Cricetulus griseus: one gene and its partner. The protein of the gene in region 2 interacts with the protein of the main gene of each other region in a pairwise test. Links are inferred from orthologs where the notes say so. Each region holds a gene or a part of one and is shown on either strand. Other genes may lie near its edges.

Evidence for each region.
Region 1: the proteins of Spred1 (region 2) and Il16 interact in binary tests that used the Homo sapiens proteins (3 or more experiments, as listed by UniProt). The link is inferred for Cricetulus griseus from reciprocal best matches to the Homo sapiens genes SPRED1 and IL16.

What each region holds. Positions count from the first base shown.
Region 1 is NC_048596.1:114,020,441-114,028,669, reverse strand, and holds the end of Il16 (pro-interleukin-16), read right to left. Parts: intron 7,642-8,229; coding exon 7,383-7,641; intron 7,112-7,382; coding exon 6,989-7,111; intron 4,143-6,988; coding exon 3,955-4,142; 3' UTR 3,781-3,954; downstream 1-3,780. Other genes in the region: Stard5 (stAR-related lipid transfer protein 5), read left to right, coding at 548-695. UniProt on the Homo sapiens protein: Interleukin-16 stimulates a migratory response in CD4+ lymphocytes, monocytes, and eosinophils. Primes CD4+ T-cells for IL-2 and IL-15 responsiveness. Also induces T-lymphocyte expression of interleukin 2 receptor. Ligand for CD4.
Region 2 is NC_048599.1:61,428,904-61,438,567, forward strand, and holds the start of Spred1 (sprouty-related, EVH1 domain-containing protein 1), read right to left. Parts: upstream 5,453-9,664; 5' UTR 5,333-5,452; coding exon 5,301-5,332; intron 1-5,300. UniProt on the Homo sapiens protein: Tyrosine kinase substrate that inhibits growth-factor-mediated activation of MAP kinase. Negatively regulates hematopoiesis of bone marrow.

The DNA of each region.
Region 1 (8,229 bases), on a different chromosome or scaffold from region 2:
TAAAATAGTAGTAAATGAATTGCATGCTAAGTAGCAATTTTTTAAAAGAAAAATCAGCTTTTCTAAATAAAAACTGAGAAGAATGGCAATCTTTTCCAGTTTCTCCAATTTCTTTCATGTCAGACATAATAAACACATCTGTGACAGAGTGTGCTGTGGGGTCACAAGTCACATAGGCTAAAAACTCCACTGTGTGTTCATAGAAATCATTGCATGGAAGGAGTTTTAACCTTGCTGACCTGGAAAGGGCCAGGATGTCCCAGAAGTCGCCAGCCATCAAAAACACAGCTGTTAATAGTCACAAGGAACATCTGCACACCCACCCAGGGCATGGCATCAGCCCCCCAATGTGTTTGCAGTGGGCTGGGCAGTGTGTCTCCTAAAAGATACATTATTATCCAGAACAAGGTTGAGAGGAACCCTGGGTACTGAGTCTGGAGCAGGAGTAGAAATGAACACGGTGTCTGGGCTGCTTCTGCTGGTCATGGCTCTGGGCTAGATACTTCTGGGGTACATATCTAACCCACCACTGCTGTTTCTTTCTCAGGGAGCCTAACAAAACCAAGCTGGTCACATTCTTCCAGACAGACCTGAGTGGCTACCTCCCTCAGAGTGTGGTAGACTCCTTCTTCCCTCGCAGCATGGCTGAGTTCTACCCCAACCTTCAGAAGGCAGTGAGGAAGTTCCATCACTGATACAGTCGCCTATTGGAAAGAAATGCCCTTCAGGAGCTCCAGCTGTTGTGCCTCAAAGAACACAGAAGAGCTACTGTGGCTGTTTGAGATGCCCTAGTGAACAGGAAGTCTTGGGGAGCCAGCCTAGGATAGCATCCCCACACACACCTCTCCTTCCTCTTGGGCTTGGTGTGGAAGAAGCTGTCCATCAGTTTGCAGTGGTACACACACACACACACACACACACACACACTTGGCAGGACAGGTCCTGCTATGGCCACTTTACAAAGACATAGCTCAAACACCCTTTGGTTCCTTGTGGTCCAGGGTCCTGTGCGTTGCTGTCAGACACCTTGTCTCTCTGCTGGTCTTAGAGAATCATTGTCTATCCTGGTCACTAAGTCCTGCTTCCTCGGGCATCTGGAGCACCCAGACTTTTGTACCAGACTCCTGTGTTCATTTTGTGATAAATTTTATATACAAATTTTTAACACAAGACTTTCCCCTCCTTACAAAGACATAAACTTGGAAAATATATTTTAAAGCACAGACTGAGCCTTAAGGAAAAACACTTTCTACCTAATGTTTGTTGTATCTTCCATCAGAATTGTCTTTTCTATCTGTTTGTCCCTTCATGAGTTAATGTTCATGTCCCCATGAAACCAGCTTGAATCTGCCCCGGGCCAAATTATATCTTTGGGAAGGAGTGGGAGTTCTTGTGTCCTGTGTGAGTGATTCCGAGTAGGGCCAGCTACTCCTGTGTGCATGGAGGACTCTGGGTAGAAGAGCCCCCTGGCATATACCTGACTCTGTCCTCAGTCATGGGGGTGAGGCAAGAGTGCTCTGGTTTTCTGGATCCATCAGGCCTTGCTGCCATTAGGAAGGAAGGAAGAATAAGTCTCCTGTGCTGTGGGACTACACAAGCCTACAGTTATCTAGCAATTGCCACAATACTGGCCATTCCAGTAGGGACAAATGCTGTCTCCTTTCTTTTCAAATACATGTAGGTTTCTGCCTTTCAAGTGAAGAAAGGAGAGATCTCTGTTGGCTGACATTGTGATTGCTTAAAGACTCTTCAGAGATATGGTGCCCCTCACAGTCTTTTAGTAGCTTTTAATAATTCCTCTACTCTTCCTTTATTTGTTTCTCACATCATTTCGAGGGAGGAAGGAAGTCTAGTCAAAGGGCTCATTTGGACACATTTGCATTTTGATGAGGCTGGTTCAGACATTCCCACACTCTGTCTAGATCTGTCTGGATTTCCTGCTGCTGCTTTGTTCCCTGGAGTTTGGATACTAACTGTTGATCTCCTGTTGTCTCTCTCTGGTTTTGTCTCCTCTGTGTTAAGCCTGCTTGCTTTACCGTTCTTTTGAAGGTGATCCACCTTGTTTTTTGAGACAGACTTTCTAATTGGACTGAAAGTCACCTAATAGGCTAGGCTGGATGCCCAGCGAGTTCTAGGAAGCTGTGTCTTTCTGCTTCTCCGGGTCTGGGATTACAAGTGAATGTCACCATGCCTGGTTCTTTTGTTTCCATTTGTCTATTTGGTTGTTTGGTTTTATTTGTTTTTGTTTTTCTGGTCTCTGGGGATGAAATTTGAGTCACCATGCTTGATTGGCTTTTAAGCCCTTTCCTGACAGCTATCTCCCCAGCCCCACATCTTTTATTGTTAGATCAAATATAACTTCTAATAGTTATCAAAGGCTGCTAGGAATGGTATCCTGAATTTTTCATCTACTTTTGACTGCTACAGGATGTAATTCCAAGTGGGCTGGAGAAGCATGCTCAGAGTAGGTGAGACTGAGCTATACAAGAGTCACTGGAGGGCTTTGCATGAAGAGAAGAGCACAGTGGGGGCTTCTGAGTCCACTTCAAATTCTGGAGAGGCCAGCAGGTTACATTGGCAAGCTCCCATTGCAGTGCCCTGAAATATATGGACTCTGGTGTTTTGCCTGTGACACTTGCCAGGCCTTCAATGTCATCCTTATTTCAGAGGAGTGGGGATGAGGAGCTGAACCCCTGGCCCAAACCTACTAACCCATACTTGCTATGGATCATCAAGATTCACATTGAGTTGTCCCGAGCTTGGCTATCAGATATTCAAAGGTGACCGAAGCAAATATTCTATTGGTCCTGCACATGCTGAGAACTGGCTGAGAGGGTGTCTTTCCTAGTGTGCTGTTATAACTCTCCTGGGCCTGCTTATGTCTACCAGGTCACAGAAGGAATGACAATCTCTGCCCACCATATCCCAGCCAGACAAGCCATTCATTGTCCTGAGGCTTAGTACCTTCCAATACACCAGCACAGGACCACCATTGTTGAAGTGGTGGTAATTACACATGACTGTCATTTAACATCAAGCAGAATGCCTGACATGTGACAGATGGGACATCGGTAGAAATTTGTATTTTACATTTTACACCCATATCCATTCTGGTTCATCCTGTGAACACATCTGTCTACACCTTAACTCACAGCGCACTCCTCTATCTCCTGGTTCCACCCTTTCTAGGATCACTTCTCAACCTAACCAAATAGTCTTTTGCTTGTTTGAAAGTGTTTTTCATGACTGGTTGCATCTTACAAAAATGTTCCTGACAACATAATACCCTTTCCTTGAGTCCAGGCAGGTTTTGCCTGCTGTCAGTGAGAATACAATGCAAGCAATGCTATGAGTCTTTGAAGGTAGAACATTTAAATAGATGCAGCTCCTGTCTGGCTATGGTATGTGTACCAGGCAGCCTGGCATCACAGCACAGAAGCCCAAGCCATGAAAAGACCACTTAGTTATCACTCAGAACCAGCAACCAGAGATACAAGCAGTGACCCTTCCTAGGACCCCAGCCCAACCTTGAGTTGCTGTAGATGATGCTTAGTGGGGCCAAAAGGAGCTCCAAGTCCTGCCTATCCTGCAGATTCATAAGACAAAACTTGCTGCCATGGGGTGGCTTTCATAGTACCTGGGTAATGTTCAAATCAGGACATGGGTTTCATAGAAAACTGCAATACACCCAATTTATTTTGGCACCAGAATAGTATCACTAAGCTGTCTATATACAGTCTGCAAGTTGTATCAGCCACTTCTGTGTGACTCTGTCCTGCCATTTAGAATAACCCTCTTGGTGGGTAGTGTCCCAGAAAGTCCAAACCTGAGCAGCAGCTACCAGAAGCACACCTGGGCTTTCCCCAGCCTGGGTGAGGTGGGCAGCAGAGACCCTGAGAATCGGCAGTGATGGGAGCTTCATGCTCCTGCATTGTCGTAGCATCGGCATCTTGTCTAGGGGTCCCCAGAAGCTATCATCTGCTTGCATTGGAGGCCCTTCCTTCTTATGACTACAGTGACAGGCCCATCAGGCAATGCCTTGATGACATTCCAGGCTTCAAACCGAGTAAGACCTTGCACGGCAGTGCCAGCGAGCTGCAAGATTTCATCTCCTTGCTGGACCGACTCACTCTGTTCTGTCCCTATAAAGAAGGAGAACATGGCAGGTGATTCTGGGCTTCACAGACAACGGGAAGAATAAAAGGCACTTTCTGAGGAACCAGGACAGCCAGAAGTGGGTCACACACCCATCCCTGGGAGCCTGTCTGTGGTTCTAAAGTGAAGCATTTCACAGCAAGGTAGTTCAGAGTTTGGGAACCAAGACTCAGCTCTGTTTTCAAGTGAGGAGATGACAGGCAGTTGGTAGGGAGAAACCCTGGTCACAGGTATGTAACAGGGGTTTAAGAAGCAGGGAGAAAGGCACGTGGCACTCTTGCTAGGCTGAGCTGAAGGAAAAAGCTTATAGATTCAAGATACCTTTATTCAGATAAATACCAGCCAAACACAAGCCAGAGCATGCCCAGGGGCAGCAAGGCAGGGAGGCCAGAGAGAAGGAGCAACCGAAGGGGAAGAGAGTGTTCCATGTGCTCCTGGTTGCTTAAGAGCTGATGCCACGTTACTCTGACCTCACCTTGACCACGCCTTGACAGGCGTGGTCAGGCACATCTGTAGCCAGCCCTTAGAAGGCGTGGTTACGGTGTCTCCCTACACTGAGTGGACTGAGAAGTATTTCTGGGTCTGTCCTTGCATGAGTATTTTCCCCTATCTCTGGCTACATCTTGTATTCATCAATAGCAGTTCCAAGCCAGAGCCCAGTTAGACACTTCTACAATTTCTAGAGAAGCCCTGGAGCTCTGGGTCCTCTCCTTATCTATCCTACTTCATACTGACTCCCTTCTTCTGGTAATATCATTAGCAATGGGTGAGAAGGGGTGTGAGTTAGTGAAACATTCGTGAAGCAATCTTCACAGGGTTTTTGGCTTGTTTGACTGGGGGAGAACTCTGTGTCCACCCAGAAAGACCTGCATAGCACCCACTCAATCAAAGATGCATACAGAAACCATGACATCTTCTTTTACTGTTCATATTGAAGGGAAACCTCCCGAATTTATCTGATACCATGGCCTTTACCAATATTGAATATAGAGTATAGAATAATAATGAAAATATAGAATATTGAGCAAGTACCACAATGGGCATTGACCCACATGTTCTGTACTCATGTACCTTGGGGTACACACCAATAGACTCCCTTTTTACAGGTGCAGAGACCAAAGATGGAAAGCCTCACTCAGAACTTGAAAGTGGCTCAGTTTTTAGGTCTAGGTTTAAACTTTGACCTCCAGGCTCTGGCATCCACATCCCATAGTGCCACACCTTCCTGTGGCTGGAGGCTCATTCCCATGTACACTCGTGGACCCAGAATAATGAAGTGACTTGCCCAGGGTCCTGCCACTGGACATGGCGAAATTAACATTAGAACCCAGGTCTCTCAGCTTCGGCTCCCTCAAGAGCTGAAAGCATTTCCCCAGAGCTGCAGTTAGCATGGACACTTGGAGTTAATTACCATGTATGACTCAGTCTACCCACTGGTTTTCATGAATGCTGCAGAATTTAAAATCAGCTAGCCATGAAGGCTCATGAGGACAGGTATTAGGGATGAGATGCCCTTTGGATCCCAGTTCTAAAAGCTCCCAGATACACACCCATACTTTTTACCTCTTCTTATGGATAAGGAACCTCTAGACAGGTAAAGTATGGTCACCTGGCAAGTTAGAGACAGGGCTGAGACTACACCCAGAGCCTGGCTTCTAACCAACATTTCTTTCTCCACATCCCTTGTTCCCTTGCCCAAGGCTTCCACCTAAGAAATGGCAAGAAGTTGCAGGTAGATTTGCAGGGTAGCTACAAGGTGTTCATAATTGTCTCAGGAATAATCCATATCCAACTAACCAACATGTCACATTGTCTGGCAGCCCAATTCATAATGAATAAGACATCAATTGGAAAATAAACACAAGAACCAATGAATCCAGGACTAGAGTAAAGCTAGCCAGACTGTGAGACAAGTGCTAGCCTCTGGTTTTACTCAAAACATTGGCATCTTATGCATTGTGGGTTGGTTGGTTGGTTGGTTGGTTGGTTGGTTGGTTGGTTGGTTGGAGACAGACTCATATAATCCAGGCTGACCTTTTACTCACTATGATCTGGAACACCTGAGTGTCTTGTCTTCACCTGAGTGCTATCACAGCTGTATAATTTTTAAGTTTAACATTTATTTTTGAGTACACTGTGTGAAAATGGTATTGATCTTTCTCAATGCATCTTTCGGTAGCCCTCAACTCTGTGCTTCAAGCCAGAGTCTTCCTTGCCTCTTCATGTCCTTGGTCCTGCCAAGCTGAACCAAGCCTGTTGTGGGATGTTTGTTCACTATGTGAAAATGTATTTCTGTGATTGGTTTAATAAAGAGCTGAATGGCCAATAGCTAGGCAGGAGGTATAGGCTGGACTTCTGGGAAGAGAGAGGAAGTAGGGAGAGATCATTGAAGTGCAGGGGAGACCCCAGGAGAGAAACCAGGAAGTGCAAGATAGAAGACAGGTTACACCACATGATAGAATGTAGATTAATATAAGTGGGTTAATCTAAGTTATAAGAGCTAGTTAGGAACAAGCCTAAGCTATAGGCCGAGCTTTCATAATTAGCAATAAGTTTCTGTGTTATTATTTGGGAGCTGGCTAGCAGGACAGAAAAAGACTCATTACACAAGCCTAGTACTCAGTCATGTGAGAGGACCCAGCAAAAAGAGAAGTAAAGGCATGGCTGAGCAAGGGCACAAGGTGAGAAAAGCAGAACTGAATGCATAGGGTCAACACGTGACTCAAAGGGCGTGGGAATCGACAGTGGCCCAGAAGGGTCTCAGGAGTTTTGGGTTTTGAGTGCTTGCTGCATGCCCACAACTGGAGAGGGTATAGAGGGGAAAAGGGCCCACCTTTGAAAATCCTGTTAATGGTGAGAGGCTTGTCTCCATGCAGGGAGCCTTTTCCTCCCTCCAGGCTGAAGCCCAGCCCTGCAGAGGTCTTCTCCAGTGTCACTGTGCAGACAGTGGCCTCCACTGCAGAGAAAAGCACATGGGCTTGGTCAGTGCTCTGCTCTTCTCTCAGGCCCAGCTGCCCAGGTTGATATCAGCTATTTAACCACACACACGGAAACACAGACTCACATCTCTGCAGCACACCAGGCAAGCTGGAAAGGTGTATTGGGGCTTCACATTACCACACAGTGCCACCAACAATGGATCTAAATGGCCAAAGGCAGTCAGTATGGGGCTCACGTGGGGCCTTTCCGCACGTGAGTCCCCATCCCACTGCACTGGGAACACTTACTAGATTCTACTGAAATGTCACTGGCTGCTGAAGATGATGCTGCAGAGTCAGTAGAGGAGTTCAGGTCATGAGTGGCATCCACAGTTGCTTTCCTGGTGACAATCACAGCTTGCCTTGGGTCCCGAGCTTGGCGGAGGATAGCTAGGGCATCATTGTGGGTAGCCCCCTTGAGAGATTTGCCATTGATGGAAAGAACCTCATTGCCTTTTTGAATTGTGCCTTCCTGGGAAGCCAGGCCATTTGGAAACACTCTGTGAACCTAAACAAGCCAGAGGAATTAGGACCCCCAAACCACCCAAATCAGCTCCCATCTGTGATAGCAGGGCACTCCAAGCCAAGTATCCAGCCAACCCCAGAGGAGTTTAAGCCAAAGACAATGTAACAAGATAAATTAAAGACCCAGAGACAGATATTGGGGTTCAAGCTGAGGGTCAGATGCTTTTTGAATCCTCAGGCAGGCTTTAATAAATGATAAATAATTTACCACTACAGACAACATATGTTGATTATATCTCAAGGCAGAGCAACAGGCCTGAGCCAGCATTCTTTCCTTTCCTTCTCTAGTCAGGGCAGAAACCAACAGTGATAGCCAGAGAGCCCTCAACATTCTTCCCACACAATGCCCTTGACTGATCCTCCAGTCCCATTCACTCCCAGGGAACATCTTCTGCCTTATCTACCCTGGATCACATTTCTAAGAATGGTTTCCTGACAAAATTGAGTCTATGGCTTATTGAGGGTTGTTTACAAGAACAATTTTCTAAGAAAAGAGAAATTTTGGGATACCACATTAAACAAAATCTCCCAAAATTTTCATTGTTTAAAGATGCTAGCAATCCTACAATGT
Region 2 (9,664 bases):
AGAACTAAATTTTCCTTTTATATATGGTAACTTGATAAAAACTTAAGATGTGGTATTCCTAGATTATCTCCAGGAACAAACAACAGATACTGATGAAGAAAAAATTCAATGTCAAACTTAATACTGTTCAAAAAAAGAAAACAACATTAGACTGGTAAACAAAGTATATCATACATTGAACATATAGTAGCCACTAAAAGTCACATTCTAGAAAGATAATTAAAACACAGCAAAATATTTACATATATCAATCCACCATAGTATACACTGTAAAACTACTACAGTCAGAGAGAGGGTGTGTGTTCCTGTGAGTGTCCATAAACATTAGTTACAAAATTGTTTTTTGGGTTTTTTTTTTTTTTTTTTTTTTTAGTTTTTCCAGACAGGGCTTTTCTCTGTGTAGCTTTGGAGGCTGTCCTGGAACTCCATCTTATAGACCAGGCTGGTCTCAAACTCACAAAGATCCACCTGCCTCTACCTCCCCAGTGCTGGGATTAAAGGTGTGTGCCACCACCATCCCGATACTTATGAAACTCTTAAAGCATTTTTCACAGTGCTCAGCACAAAGTGAAAAATCCAACATATAAACAACATCATCAAAGTCACAGGTAAAGGAGTCTGCACACAATTACATAATATTATAATCCTTGTTATCTCATGGTAGCTATGCAAACAAATTATTCATCTTTGAACTAGCTTTTGATCTTGCATGGGTGGGTAAACTATTTCTCAAATTTTAACTTAAATGCAACTCTTCTGGAAGGTTGGAGAAGAAATGTAGACCTCTCTGTATGACCCTTCCAACACTTAGTGAGATCTATTAGTCAAGTTCAAGTTACCGTCATCAGAGCAAGTTTGTCAGTCTTTCCCCTTCAAAACTTCTCCATCACCAGAAGCATACAAATAGGGAGCCTATAATTTTTACCCCTTCCCCATCAATGAACTTTTTTATTCCTAGCCAGTTTCCCATAGGTAGCACTATGAAGAAGCTGTAAGAGGAAGAAACTTTCAAATCTTCAAAACTGATAAACAGATAGACAAATGACTAGCCTTTTGTTAATACTGCATAGCTCAGAGGCCAACACAATGACTACTCCAAAAGTATCTATGATAGTTTTAGGCCTCAACTATTGTTTCTAGAACTTGAGGAAATCTAACATGTCAAAAATGAAACCAATTTTGGCCTTAGGAAATAAAGAGCAAATCTTCTTTAAAATATAATATAAACCAGGCATTAGTGGTGCATGCCTTTAATCCCAGCACTCGGAAGGAAGAAGCAGTGGGATGTCTGTAGTTCGAGGTCAGCCTGGTCTTCAGAGTGAGTGCCAGGATAGGCTTCAAAGCTATACAAAGAAACCCTGTCTCGAAAAAAACAAGAAAAAAAAAAAAAAAGGTAGCATAAATAATTTTCCTATAATCTTTCAGCCTAACAAAACAACTAAATGTATAATTCACACACCAAAAAAGTGTATATGAAGGGGCAATAACAGGCAGAGCAATGAGTAAATTTACATTATGATTTTTAAAATCTGACTATAAGTATGGATCAATACAGAACAACACAGAAGGACAGAATGTTGAAGAGCATATAGCACAATTGAGTCTTCTGGAGAAAAATTATTTCCACAAGCTTTTTTTCCTTGAAAAAATATTTTAAGCATGCTAGCATATAGTTTAAAAACATACAGTCTAAGACCAGAAAGCTTGATATCAAAAAGGAGGAAAGCTGAAGCAGGTGAGCAAGCACTGAGCTGGACTGAATTCTAAGCAAATTTTACATTACAGATTCATAATATCTATATAAAATACATTACTTGAATAACTGTCACAGATTCCCAATGCTTCTTTCCATTCAGTTCTAGAATAACTTTCTAACTATTATGTATATAATGTATGCATAGACATACGAATATATAAGACAAATGAAAGAAAACTTATATACTCCCACTGTGAGGTACATTTTTAATGATGCACTAAATGGTATAATCACAAAATTTGCTTTTGACAGGAGAAATTCTGTCAAAACTCTAATGAATCTCCTCTAAAGTTACTATAATCCCAACTTGATATTAAAAAGCCTAGTATACTGACATGGCAGATGGTTCTGGCTTTATTTAAGCACAATAAACGGAATTCTTGGTTTTTCAGCTATTTCACTTCTCCAAGTGCTTTGGCCAAATTGGCAAAGAGCATGTAGCATGATATTCACTCAACACCAAATTACAAAGGCCCTTAGGTATTATATAATATATTCTTAAGTGTCCAAAATTCAATTTAAAAGGTTAATTCATTATGGTACAACTTTATTTACTGGAGTATCTGTTTCTGCAAAATGAAAAACTGACACATCTGAAGTACTAATTTCTGCAAAATATAGTATCTTCGAAAATAAAGTCATGTATGGTAGTTCCGATACTTATAGCATAAAGCAGTTTACTCTAGAGTACATGTACTGTCTTTTGAAAACTCAGATTAAAAAATTGTTTTATTACACTTACTTGTGACTGTGTTGAGGACAACTTGTGGGAGCAGGTTCTACAGTATAAGTCCCAGAAATGGAACTCAGTTCATCAGGCTAGATGGTACAAAGTGCCTTTAACAGTTGAGCCATCTTACCTGCTGAAATATTTTATTTTTTAAACATGAATTTGAAAGTGTGGGTGCTTCATCCTATTCTCATTCATTTCCTCATTTGTCACTGTTAAAACAAAGCCTTTTAGATAATACATCTACTAATTCTTGATTAGATATACAATCACCTCAGTTAGCTATTTCTCTACTAAAAAAAAATCTAAATTCAAATGGTTTTCAGAATGAGTATTCTAAAAGGCCTTATTATATTTCAGTACAACAGCTATCCATTAATTTTTAAAAGTTAACAGTCTTCAAGAAATTAGTAATTTTTCGCCTTCTTTAAAAGGCTAAAAACAAAGAAAAATGAAGCAATAAAATGCTAAGAACAATTTCTACTGTAATTAAATCCCTTTGAAAAAGGGAAAAAATAATACAAGGCCATTTTAAACTATACCTAGAACCATGAGTGCCCTACTGTATCTTTCACTCCTTCATAACGTATGATTTTAAGTAATTTTTGAATTTCCATTTTCAAAACTTCACCTCCTACGATAAAGATGAGATCTACAAATGACCAGATTAAAATTGACATTCTAAGAAATCCACTTTGTGGTTGAGCTAAGGCACAAGTAAACAATGTAAGCTCTAGCAGCAATGACTACCAGGTGAACACAACCATTTTCTAACGTTAATTAAAAAAAAAAAAATGCCCTAGGAAGAACCTTTCAGAGGATAATACATCCTAACATAGACGACTCCTTTCCTGGGGAACAATGTATTAATAAGGCAGGATATATTTGTGAAAACAATTTTAAAAATCTGGATGAATTATTTCCAAAGTGTTCTGTTTCAAAGCATCAATACCTTGAGGGTTAAAAACATCGGAAATATTTTTGTTTCATTTAGTGCAACAAAGGTTCCATCCACTGAGATCTCTCTCACACTTACTTGCACTTTCAATTTGCCATAATACCAAAAAAAAAGGCCCGTTTTGAAACAATCTATCATATGTCTGCATTAGTACACACCCCATCATTTGTTCCTCAGCCGCATCAAGGAAATAATACTTTCTAAACTATTAAACTGGTAAGAAATCTTTCCCCATCTCTAAAATAGGTAAGATTTTATCCCAGCTGCTTTCCTCCAAGATACTAATTAAAGTCCCCGACAATCCCTTCAGCATTTCCGCAGTTTTTCTCCTAACCCAGCACCATCTGAGACAGGCTTCTAGATCTAGCTCAAAATAGGTCTAGTCTGCGGAAGGCAGTGACAGTGTACTGCACTGTGAATGGACAGCCAGGTATTTTATGAATGGAGGCGATCACGTGATCCCAGCACCTCCCCGAACTGATATTTCCCACATAACTGTGTCAACATTCTGAGAACTGGGGTAGTTGTTTGTGTGTGCGTATGTTCTAAAATTTAATCTAAAACTTCTAATTCTCCTCACTTCCCGAACTCAAAAATCTACATAAAGACAAACAAGCTTCGAATGTTTTTCTTAGGAAACCCTTTCAAGTTGTCCAAGGTGATGGATGTTTAATTATTTTTTTTATGAATGAAGTGTGCTATGCAAATGAGGGCGATTCACAAAAAAGAGAGAACATGGCGGCCACTTCTGCTTCTAGACTGCACTGACTGCAGCAATCCACCTCCTTCCACGCCCTCTCCCTCAGTGTGTGCTTTTCAAAGAGGGGGGGACGCTGCCTGGTATTTTTCTAGCTATTTTATGCTAAGCGGGCTTCGGCACTGGCCCTTAAAGCCTTCTCGAAGAGGTCTGACTTGAGGAATGTACTTTATTTAAAGGAATGCATCCTCATTTAACTCTTCATAACCCTCCAGAAACAAACAAAACTTGAACTCAATCACAAGAAAACGGACGCCAATATTCTGCCTCAAATTAACTCCCTTCTCAACAGGAAAATCTTACAGCACCATTCTTCCTCCAAGCGGCTGCTATATTTAAAAGGCACAGTGCTTCGTTTGGAAAACATAAGGACAGCCCAAATAAGCAAAAAACTTAAAGTCGCGGAATGCTCTAGATGAAACTGACAAAGTCACCAACGCGTTCGGCAATGTAAACGGTGCTTTATCACAGACGAAAGCCAGACACTAGCATTCAAAATTCCTAATTGTTCTGTTCTTAATGAGGACGAGTTCAATATTCGCCAAGGTCTAAAACAAAACAATAGCTCAACATCGCCCACACTCCAGGTGTTCTTAATCCTATTTAATTCTTAAAATGTTTCCCTAACCCTATTTTTTTTTTTTTACCAGACCAGTATAGGTCATAAGTTTAAAAAGTGGGACAGGGGGCGAAGGCTTAATCGGCAGCATTTAAGAGTCACTGAGTCATCGAATTAGGATTCGAGAGCAGTTTGCGGCAGGAGGTGCACCCACACATTAGTTTCCGAGCGAAATAGATGTAAAGGGAGATGGCTGGATGTTCAAGGTGCTGGGGGGGGGGGGGATGCAGGAGTGAAGGGCAGGCAAAGGGTAGTTTCTACTCCACTTTGAGCCACCCACATTACTCCGTCTCGGAGACGTCCGATTGCTACACCGCCTCTGCTCCGCACTCGATAGCCTTCCCCAAGCAGGGAGGCGATTGCAAAGATGGAAAGGGGTGCTGCCATGAAAGAACACAACCCGACGACACATCGGGCATCTATCACCTCCCGGGCGGGACGGGCTGGGGGGGAGGGGGCTGCCCACCAGGGCTCGCTTACTCGTTGTCAGAAGTCGCCGTCTCCTCGCTCATCTTTCCCTCACCGTGATCCGCTCAGGAGATGAAGGAGCAATAGCAGGCGGGGAAGCAGCGGCAGCGGCGGCACCGAGGGACGGCGGGCCGGCGGCGGCGGCGGCCGGCGGGGCGCGCGGGCAGCGGCTCGGGGGCCTCACCATGGTGGACGCCTCACCCGGAGCGGCGCCCCGCGAGCCGGGCAGCCCGGCCACCCCCGCAGGGGGGCGGCGGCAGTGAGCGCGGCCGTGGCGACCCCAGCGGTTCGCTGTGCCGAGGCCGGGTGCGACGCCGAGACGGCGCGGGCGGCTGCAGGCGCTGGAAGGGACGCGGCCGGCGGCTGAGGCGGTGCAGCTCTCAGGGCGCGCCGACTGGAGGGCGGCGGCGGGGGCGGGGGGCAGCCGAGCGCTGGCTGCGGGCGGCGGCGCGGTCCGCCGAGGTGCCGCGCACCATCTCCCGCCTGGCCGCCGGCTGCCCGCGCGGCGCGCCGACCCGGTCGGCCCTCAGGGGCTCCCTCAGACGCGCTCCAGCTGGGGGCCGCAGGCAGGGCGCGAAGTGGCCGTCCGAGCCCGAGGGCACAGTTCCGAGCGGCGGCGAGGAGGGCCGAGACCAGCGCAGCTCCGCGGGCCCGCTCCTCACGCCCGCGAGAGGGGAGCCGCGAGGGGGGCGGCGGAAGCTCTCACGCCGCCCGCTCCTTCCGCCGCGCGAACCGGGGGCGCCCGCGGGAGAGGCAGGCGAAGTAGTCCCTCGCGACTTCTGGGGCGCGCGGGAGCAGGCGGGCGGGCGAGCGGACGGACGTGGGGCGCGGCTGCGAGCGGGCAGCGCGGGGCCTCTGGGAGGTGGGGGAAGACCTAAAAGCCACGGCCCGCAGGCGAATCACTGCAGCTCGAGATCGTGGGCAGCATAACAAGTTTCCGAAAAGTAGTTCCCTCCTCCCCTCGCTTCCCAAATCGTCGGGCAGCGGGAGCGGGGCGAGGAGGGCGGCGGAGGGATATACCGCTGCACCGCGCGCGTGTGCGTGCGCGCGCTCCAAACTCTTGGCACGCCGCGAAAGGGGGCGGGGGGTGGGATCTGTGAGCAGAGCTGCTCCGGGACTGGCATTGTTGCGACGCGCAACTCCCCGTTACTCAGCCTGGAATGTCCAGGTTGTCTCTACAAACAGGCTGCACATCCACCGTGTGTTCGAGGAAGAAATCAGAAGGCCGCTCCGTTCTGCTCGGTGCGCGTGCACGCGCGCGCGTGTGTTGTGTTTTCCTTGCAAAGAATGGAACTGGCTTGAGTTCATCTCTAGTTAGTGGGGGTTACAGGGCAGGACTGCAAAGCGAGCTCCTCCTGCTGTCCCTCTAGTTGCATTGCTGTAGTCCCCTAGCTGCTTGCACAGGGGAGTGAGGAGAGAAAGTGTGTGTGTGTGTGTGTAGAAAGAGTTGATTTCAATACCTCGCAGCGCGATTCTCACTGCGCAAACAGCATGCAATGCAGGGCATTCATTTCTGAAAGCCCGAGTGCTTGTTAATGGAGAACGGCTTCCATTGAAGCCCGGGGTAGGCGGGTTACATGAATCTGGCGCATCCAGCGGCACAGGAAATAACTCCCGCTGCGAGTGAGGTTGCATAACTATAGCGCAGGAGATGCCTGTGTGGCACGAACGGAGGCGGAATGGTTGTTGGATAGGCAGCTGTCACGTTTGCATTGTCAGAGGACAATGTATGCAGTCATCCCAAGAGGTCCTTTTTGCATAGGAACCTTCTAGGGTTCATGGCTGGAGCCTGGGATCTTTGTGACTGAAGGACTAGGAATCTCGGGCTCTATAAATTCTATTATCTCTTCGCTATCAACGAAGTCAGCCTATATACAAGATGGCCTGGGGGACTGAATCCCAGGCGCTCCCAAGTTCCTGTCGTGTCTCCCCAGGCGGTTCTGCCCTAGGCTTCTCACTTTGTTCTCAAGTTTACTTGACCTCTAGGGAAGGAAACTTGCAGCTCCAGCCACCTTGAGGGATAGAACAATTCCAGAGGAAGAAAAAAGTGAGAGGGCCTCCCAAGGAAACCGACACTCTCCTGCCAAGGGTTTCCAGGAAGCCTCAGAATTGCTGCTCTCCGGATGAGTACACATTGGTGTGCTAACAATATTGTGCACATAGGAGTGTCCAACGTATGTTTGAGGAAGGAATGAGAACGATAACCAAGCCAGCCGTGCACCAAAAATCCACGCTGTGGATCACTGAAGTTTCTTTATATAACTGCCTTCCGGCCACGTCTGCAGGATTGTTGATCTTCTGAGCAAGGAAGGAGCAGTGGTGAGAATGAGAAAGAAATGAGCAAAGCCTAGGATAAGAGCACTACCCCTACCATTTTGAACTTGATTATGATGTGAAGAACCTGAAACCCAGAGTGTTGATGCTAGTCAGCCCTCCAAGTACTGCCACTAACTGGGCTTGCCTGGCAGGGGCCTATAATTCCAAATAATGAGAGGCATGAGGCAGGAGGATTGCAAGTTCAAGGTCTCCCTAGGTTACAGAACCAGTTCAAGGCCAGCCTGTTTAACTTAGCAAGACCCCCGTATCAAAATAAAAATATTTAAATTAAAAAGAGGCCAAAAGATCTAGCCTGGTAGTAGAGTACCTGGGGGAGGGGGTGTAATACTTGAGGCCTGGGCTAAGTCCCCAATACCGAGGTGGAAGTGTAAATCACCCAGAGACTGCTCTTAAGCAAGTCACTTAAACTCTGCCTAGTGTTGTGGGCTAATAGCATCTACTTCATGGAGGTTTTATATGGATACTGGAATAACAACAGTAGCAGGGTGGTGGCGCATGCCTTTATCCCAGCACTTGGAAGGCAGAGGCAGGCACATCTCTGTAAGTTGGAGGCCAGCCTGGTCTACAGAGGGAGTTCCAGGACAGCCAAGGCTACACAAAGAAATCCTATCTAAAAAACAAAACAAACAAACAAAAAATTAGAACAAATCCAGAGGTGGTAGCTTTGTAAAACAAGTTATAACGCCCATGTCAATGTGATGGCATGTGAAGGGCACAGAGTATTGTTCAGTCACTCAACAAATGACCATCTGTCATCTTCTGTGTACCCACTAGACACATGACCTGGCCCTTGGTAAGCCATCAACAGTGATAACCATCATAGTTATGATTAAGGGTGAAGCTGACCATTTGCAAGGCAGCTTTCACTTTTAGGAGGCACATCTGTCTGAGGTTTCTGTGATGCACAGATATAATTAGGATCAGCTCTTGGGGAGATGAGAAAACTGGCTTTGTTATCATACACCAGGCAATGTGCTCTCCACTTATGCTCAGAGAAAGAGAGCTTACTGAAAGGCTCAAGTGTGGTCACCAGCCTGAATTCATGCACCTCAGCTGATTCTGTGCCTAAGGACAAGACACAGTGGGTGGTCAAGCCATCAACTCCTTGTAGTTAGGATTCTAATGTGACCATTTTAAGAGGACATTTGTAGTTCCCTTCACTTACCAGTAGTTGATGATCTTACACAGACACACATATTACATACACACACACATATATATATATATATGTATATGGTCTAGGACCAACCTATATAAATATGTATGTCTTTAAATATTATATATATTATATACTTATAATACATAGTGTAATACATATTTGTAATATAATGTTTTTATATATTTATAATACATATAAACTGTGGAACAGAAATGATCTTACAAGGATGCTCAAAGCTCAGCATCTGGGTCTTTTAATGTATACGAGATACAACCCTGGAGGTGGCTCTGACACGGAGTTTGTTCCCACATGGCTGAGAGGCGCAGGCATGTCCCACACTGGTGCTGTGGGGCAGGAAGACTGTTGCTGCAGGCTCTTTCAGCCTCAGCCCCTGTTCACAGACATTTGATGCCTCCCTGCAGAGTTTGCTGCTGAAGAAGTCTGGGAGCAGTTTCACCAGCCTCAGAACTGTTCTTAGTCTTGGTGGGCAAGCAGGCAGAACTCTTTCTGTGGAAGTCTGATTTAGAGCCTGGTCCTCAAGCCTGGCTGCCAAAGGAATGAGCAGCCCTTCAAGAGGAGCTGCTTGTATTTGCAGCCTGCTGTCATGTGGTTTTACCTGGAGCAATACTCTCCAAAATGGATAACAACCAACATTGTCACCCTGTCCATCTGTCCAGAGGTTCTGCCTGCAAGTACAGAGACTTGCCCTGTGGGATCATCTTTGAGGACCAGGCTGTGGGGGCTGCAGACCCTGCCTCTGAGTTGAAAAACTAGGCCTCCACCTAGAAACAACATGTCTGAACAGCAGAGGTGGACTTGTTCTAGTCTGGTCTTACTAAACTATATATTAGTGTTGGAACCCAGCCCCCATGGGGTCTCT